Drosophila melanogaster: one gene and its partner. The protein of the gene in region 1 interacts with the protein of each later gene in a pairwise test. Each region holds a gene or a part of one and is shown in the gene's direction. Other genes may lie near its edges.

The links. The genes of interacting proteins can lie anywhere in the genome.
Region 2: the proteins of Ir20a (region 1) and CG3808 interact in a two-hybrid assay, tested with the Drosophila melanogaster proteins (one large-scale study listed by BioGRID).

Annotation. Positions count from the first base shown.
Region 1 is NC_004354.4:21,477,280-21,481,033, reverse strand, and holds the start of Ir20a (ionotropic receptor 20a), read left to right. Parts: upstream 1-2,088; coding exon 2,089-3,754.
Region 2 is NT_037436.4:18,998,911-19,002,664, reverse strand, and holds the start of CG3808 (uncharacterized protein), read left to right. Parts: upstream 1-2,056; 5' UTR 2,057-2,144; coding exon 2,145-2,366; intron 2,367-2,422; coding exon 2,423-3,719; intron 3,720-3,754. Other genes in the region: SmydA-2 (SET and MYND domain containing, arthropod-specific, member 2), read left to right, coding at 1-598, 955-1,216, 1,273-1,583.

The DNA of each region.
Region 1 (3,754 bases):
AACACCAACAATAACAACAATAGCAATAATAACGAGAACAACAGCAACAACAACAACAACAATTGAAGCGACAACAACAATGTCGGGCGCACCACAAGAATGACGACAAAGTGATGACCAAAAACGCAGTCAGCAACTTTGTTGACCATTTGAACAACAAATTTTTCCACCAACCCCACCCCCCTCCCCCCACCATTCCGACGACCATCAAGGTCCTAATGCGAGGACTATCGTCCACAGCCCGCCGCCCCACTTCCATGACCATTTTCATTTCCATTCCCGGCCCATCTGCATCTGACCAGAGAGCTGCATTGTTTTGGTATGGTTATATCGCGGGGTGCAGATGGGTAAGATGGTCAATGTGGGGCTGGACAGGTAATACCATTAAGGTCCAGGGTAATCCCTCTATGAATCGTTATCAAAAACATGGTTAAGCGACAGTTTTTGAATAGTGTACAAAGGTAGATACTCAAATGTCAGGTATGCTGGAAAAAAATTGGACAACCAAATTATGATCAAATGTTTCAAAGAACTGTTGATCGCTCATAGGAAACCATAAATTATTTTTAACAATTAGTTTTAACGTCGGTCTTGGCGAAATCATATGTGTTACCTAGTGTATTGAATGAATACTAATAGGTGCCACAGCAAAATTTATGTTTAGATATTTACTTTTTATTTTTATTTAATTTTTTCTATATAATTAAAATGCTTATTAAACTATTTTCTGACAGTTTTAACGAACGTTTTCTCACCCAGAGAGTCTTGATCCAAAGCATTCGAAAAGGACACTCTGGCGATCGCTGGAAGGTGGCTTTGCCAGCCCTGGCAAGTTGATGTGGCCGCAAAACACTCGTTCATGAATAAACTTTGCATACTTTGCAGGCATTCATGCGTGGCTATGTGTGTGTTGGTGAGGCCCCAACACCCCTAACACCATGCCATGTGTGGGTGTGTGGAGAGTTGAGTGTGTGTGTGTGTGTGTGCATGTGGTCGCCATCAAAATTGACAAAAATGCAAATTTATTTACAACTGCAGCCAGCGTCAGGGTCGAATTGACGATGACTATGGCGATGGCGATGCCACGTGAATGAATGCCAATGGCAGCTGAAGCTTTAACGTTGTTGAATGTGAGAGGGGTGTATGAGGCGGAGGAAGTGCACAAAACAACTCGGCAAAATCAACATGCAACACACGGATACAGATACGCGCCCAGATACACCCGCAGCCGCACCTGCTCACACTCACACACACACACACAGCGACACACCGAGCACATTGCACTGACAGTTGGAGCTGTCAAATGTCGCAAGTGTATTTGAAAAACGCGGCGGCGAAATGCGCAAAACATTTCGCCTGGAAATACTTGCGTGTGCACCCGCCGCATACTCTCCGTTCTTTGCGACCGTTTTTGGTGTCCTTTCCAGGGGATTTTCGCGCAAAAGGTGGGCTCCCCAAAAAGGTGACACAGATGAGTGGTCCACTTCGACCAAAGTAACCGAGTTAGGCGCACCGAAACAACTAGTTCTAAATGCGCTGATTTCTTGTTTTGTTGCCGGACTTTTCTGGTTTTGAGTCGGCTTTCATTGCTTGAGTTAGAAGGAATTCGATTATCGGTTATTTTAATTTCGTTGATGAATGTGGGTGGCATTGGGAATTTCGAAAGTTTTTTAAACTTAAAAGTCGGCATTTATTTTTTAGCATGCACTAGTCGCCATAAGTGTTTTCACAAAATAAACGCTGCATGTATTTACAACACAAAAAATATTTGTCAAAATGATACAAAGATCGGAATACTCCGGATCCAAAAATCTTATTCATAGCAAGCCATGTGTTTTTAAACGATTTGGACCATAGAATTCACTCTTTGTAGATTGATTCCAACCTCATGTCCCCAAGGCAAATACTTGGGAGTTGCAAAGCCAGAGCCATCGCGTTGTGCAAACAATGCGATTGTCGCTATGCAATCGTCCTCGGTCAATTATACCGGATGGCTCACGATAAGGAGTGGCGTACACTGCGTGGTGCAGACCACGTTTCAGACCAAAGTTGTGAAGCCCGTCAGTCGATTCCTTCGATGCCGGCGACATGTTGGCAAGCTTGAACCGTAGCACTGGCCTTTCCGCCGAACTGCTGGATCTCTACGGCCTGGTGGTTCACTTTCTGCTGAGTGGAGAGCACACCACACTGGTATACTTCAATCCCGCAGGACTCGACTGCAGTTGGGGGGTCCTGTGGCAGCGGAACCTAACTGCTCATCCGCAGATCGTGTGGCAGCGCAACTATTCATACCCGGACCTTTACTATCAGTTTAATGCGAAACTCTTGGTGCTGGCTTGCTTGCCGATGGACTCCAGAGCTGCAATTCAACTAGAGATCCTAGCCAATAGCCTAAGCCACCTGCGGACGGTGGTTCGATTGCTTATCGAAGTGGCAGGTCCTGATCAAGTAACGCTGGCCAGGCAGTATCTCTCGTTTTGTCTGCGCCGGAGCATGCTGCATGTGGAGCTGTATTTCCGTGACTACCACCACTCCCTGATCCTCTACTCCTTCCGAGCGTTTCCCAGTTTCGAGCTGGTAATGCGTTGGATTTCAGTCGGGCAAGGCGTGAAATTGTTTCTCCATAAATTGGATGATCTGAGGGGACATCGTCTGCGTGTAATTCCGGATCTCTCGCCGCCCAACACCTTCTTCTATCGCGATGCCAGGGGCGACAACCAGGTGACCGGTTACCTGTGGGACTTCTTGGCCACTTTTGCCGGTCGGCTTAATGCTGGTCTGGAGGTAGTTCGTCCCAGTTGGCGGGCAGGTTCGGCCTCTGATAGTTCCTACATGTTGGAGTACTCCGCGAAGGGCCTCATAGACGTGGGCCTGACCACCACACTGATCACGAAGTGGAATCTCTGGGCCATCCATCAGTATACCTATCCGCTATTGGTCTCCAGCTGGTGCACTATGTTGCCGGTGGAAAAACCGTTGGCAACACCAGATCTGTTCGGCCGAATCGTGTGTCCAACGTTGGCGATGACCCTGCTACTCATCATCCTCGTAACCTGGCTGGTGTTCAGGCAACTGCGTTGCCTGACACGTTTGAAGAACTCAAGACCGGCACGGATCGTGCCCCATCTGCTGACCCTGCTACTGCTAACCACCTGCAGTGCCCAACTGCTATCGCTCCTGATATTTCCGCCCTACCACGTGAGAATAGCCAGCTTCGAGGATCTCCTTCGCGGTGACCAGAAGATCCTGGGCATGCGAAACGAATTCTACAACTTTGATGGAGCTTTCCGGGCGCGGTATGCAGGTGTATTTTACCTGATTGACGATCCCAACGAGCTGTACGATCTGCGCAACCACTTCAACACAACGTGGGCCTACACCATGCCCTACATAAAGTGGCTGGTGATTAAAACCCAGCAGCGACACTTTTCCAAACCGCTTTTCCGTTGGTCTAAGGATCTCTGCTTCTTCGACTTCATGCCCACCAGCGTTATTGTGGCCCCCGATTCGATTTACTGGGAGTCCATAAAGGACTTTACCTTTCGTATCCACCAAGCAGGTCTAATGAAGCACTGGATCCGAAAGAGCTTCTACGATATGATCAAGGCCGGCAAGATGAGCATTAAGGACTATAGCGATCTGGAGACTCTTAAGCCCCTGAATATCGGGGACTTGGAGATCGTCTGGCGGGTCTGTGGAGCAGCCATCGCAGTAGCGTCTGCGATTTTCATAATGGAGCTGTTGTACTTTTACA
Region 2 (3,754 bases), on another chromosome or scaffold:
TCAGTCCAAAATAAACTATGTGCCTGGAGAGGAGGAGCGAAAGGAGTCGGCTTACTGTGTGATCATGCTGCTCCGCTGCATGCATCTTAAAGACAAAGATCCCGATGCCTTCCTCAAGCTTTACAACCTGGAGGATCACCTGAAGGAGCGCCTGGAGACTCCGCTGTACCAAGTCTTACGTGCCAATCTCATCACCTTCATAAAGACTGTATTGGGCATGAAGGATTGGCCGGAGATGGATATCCTGCGCATAGCCGCTATACTGGACACAAACACCTTTGAGGTCAGACAACCCAGGGAAAGGAGAAAAATCCGAGCTCTCTATCCTGGAGCAGCGATGATCTCGCACGACTGCGTTCCGAATATGAGGCATCGTTTCGATGACGACATGAACATTGTCTTCCTGGCCAAGAGGAAGATAGCCAAGGGAGAAATTTTGAGCATTTCCTACACCCAACCCCTGAGGAGCACCATTCAAAGAAGAGTTCACCTCAGGCAGGCCAAGTGCTTCGACTGTTCATGCGCCAGGTGTCAGGATCCCGAGGAGTTGGGCAGCTTTGCAGGAGCCCAAACGTGTCTCAAATGCAAGGCAGGAAAAGTAAGATCAGATCTAAGGAAGCATTTGTACAGCAATAAGAAAGGAAATTTCCGACTGGGGTTTTCGTCAACAACAAACCTCTTCGGAAATTCAGAACCATTAATGTCCGTCCGTCTGTCTGTTCGCCTGTTTTTCCCTATGAATGTCGAAATCTCCCAAACTTTTAAAGCTAGAATCTAGATTAAGCATGCAGTTTCTAGTAACGCCAAAGACGTGGCGGTCATGATAAGATCGGCTCGGCTGGCGATCCTGATCAATAATATATTTACGTTAAAGGCTCTGAAACGCTCCCTTATGCCTGTTACATACATATTCGATTATAGTTCTTTATATAACAATTTCCTGCCCTCTTGTAGATTATATCACTGAATCCCCTTCTAAACTCTGCGCCCTGGAAGTGTCAGTTGTGCAATTTTAAAAGATCGGCGAAGGATGTGGTTACCTCAGATGCGGAGCTTCAGCAAGAATTGGAGTCATTGGACAAAACGACTCCCGTTGCTCTCGAGGAATTCATTTATCGCCATCGTGCTGATCTCCATGAGACCAATACCCACATTTTGCAGGCCAAATATGCTCTCACTCAACTATACGGAAGTGCTCCGGGATTCGCAATGGAGGGTAATAAAAATATTTAATTTTAATTATGCATTTTTGTAAGAAACTCTTTGTTTCAGAACTTTCTGGAGAATCGCTGAACAGAAAACTGCAACTATGTGAGGAACTCCTTAAACTGGCCGACATTTTCGATGGCGGTTGGAGCATATTCCGGGGCAATCTGCTCATAGACATGGAGGAAGCTTTAGTGACGCAGGCTCTGCGCTCGAAAGACCCATTGGATTGCGAGGAGAAGCTGAGAAACGCGGCGGAAATGCTCAGAGAAATTCGAAACATCATGAAGCACGAGCCGGAAATGCAACAATTGTTGTTGGAACGACAAGTCATTTTGAGTTCTGCGCTTGAGCGCTTTGAACCAGTTGAGAATTAAGCAGAAGGAACGCTAGTGTCGGTATGCTCGATTATCATATACCCTTTAGTTGGATAACTAATCAATTTAAGAATAAAGCTGCCAAAGTATGCAAACCAAAACAAAAATGGGTTATTTTATTTGGCTTGCAGATTTTCAGGAACGTTAATTTTTTTGGCCGTTCGTCATGAATCGGAATGCAAACTTATTCCATATTTAATTTCCCATCATTTGGATGGATCTGATAAACAACCAATGTGTCAACTAGATCTTACTTCCTTACGCAGAAATACACTGCCTTATTGACCTTGCTATAATAACCTAGATTTCGACTCTTGCCTTTCTTATGATGTTTCGAATTTGGCGCCAAGTGTGTTATGTATCCGTTATCTTTTGAGAGCCTGTAGAAGAGTTTTATGTATTTTAGAAAATGTTGATATTATTTAGCGAAGACACCCACCACCGGCATAGCCGCTGGTGTTTATATACATTTTAGACTGGACGGTCACACTGTTGCATCTTCACGTGTTTTCTTTCTGTTTATATTTCATTTTCCTTAATAAATCGGCTTCTTTTAAGCAAATGGAGTGTTTCAATGCGGAAATACCAGCTGACGGAGTGGTTAATAGCATAGAGACCGAAGAGATTTCGGAAAATGTAGTGAAAGCTGATGAAACCACGCTGGCAAATGGTGAGGATGAAGCCGGAAAAGCCGGCGAGGAATATGCTTACTTGGAGCGAAATGAATTCACTTCGGAAATATTCAAAGTTGAAGTGAAGAACATGGGATATTTCGGTATTGGGGTAGGTAGTTGAAATCTAAGCCTTTATATGAATATAACAACATTATAACTTTGCAGGAGTTTAAGAAGCTTTTGAGAAACACCCTCAAATTTGACGTGACCAAAATCAAGGCTCCAACTCGAAAAGAGTTCGCCTTTGTGTGCTTCCGCAGTCAGGAGGATCAACAAAGGGCCTTGGAGATCCTGAATGGATACAAATGGAAGGGAAAGGTGTTGAAGGCTCATGTTGCCAAGGCCTCGGCCGATCCTCTACAGAAAAAGCGAGCTGCCGAGGAACAGGAGTCGGAGAGAAAGCCCAAGAAACAACGTACGGCGGTGGAAGCCACGTGTCCTCTGTCGCACATTGCCTACGACCAGCAGATTAAACAAAAATCCGAGGAAATGTCGGCACTTCTGGCGAAATACACCCAGGAACTTCGGAAGGTCAATCCGCGGGCAAAGCCCCACTTGGATAAGTTCCAATTCCACGAGGTGCTTCCCTCACCCACCGTTAATGGGTATAGAAATAAAAACGAGTTCACCGTGGGAAAGAACTCCGTAGGCGAAGTGGTTGTGGGCTTCAGATTGGGCTGCTACAGCGATGGATCTGTGGAAGTAGCCGAGGTCGCAGACTTGCCACATCTACCGGAGCAGGCCAAGTGGGCTGCTCGCAGTTTCCAGGACTTGGTGAGGAAGTCCAAGTTCTTGCCCTTCAATCCGGACGGAAATATTGGCCACTTCCGGCAGCTAATGGTGCGGTGCTCCAGTGCCACAGGTGAACTAATGCTGGTGGCGGGCATATACTCCTCGAACTTAAGTGAAGACGAACAAGTTGAACTTAAGCAAGAACTGAAGTCCTTCTACGAAGATCTGGCAAATGATGCTCCGTACAAATGCAGCTCTCTGTATTACCAAGATGTCAAGCATCGGGAAGCAGGTCAGACGATTAATCCGGTGGAACACATTTCGGGCAGCACCCACATCACCGATACCATACAGGGTCTCCAGTTTCGAATCAGCCCACTGGCCTTTTTCCAAATCAACACAGAAGGAGCCAACGTGTTGTATCAAAAGGCCATTGATCTAGTTGCTCCTACTAAGGACACAACTATGTTGGATATTTGCTGTGGTACTGGCACCATTACCCTTGCGTTCGCCAAGCACTGCAAGAAAGTGATGGGCGTGGAGATCGTCCCTGATGCGATTAAGGATGCCGAGTTTAATGCGGAAGCGAATGGCATTAAAAATGCAAAGTTCTTTACAGGAAATGCAGATGATTTCATCAAGAGTATGGTGCGCGAAGCTCTCTACGATCAGGAGCCGGGTAAACCATTGGATCTTATTGCCGTGGTGGATCCCCCCAGGGCTGGACTGCGTAAGTTTACGTTGCTTAAATATTATAAATTTGCT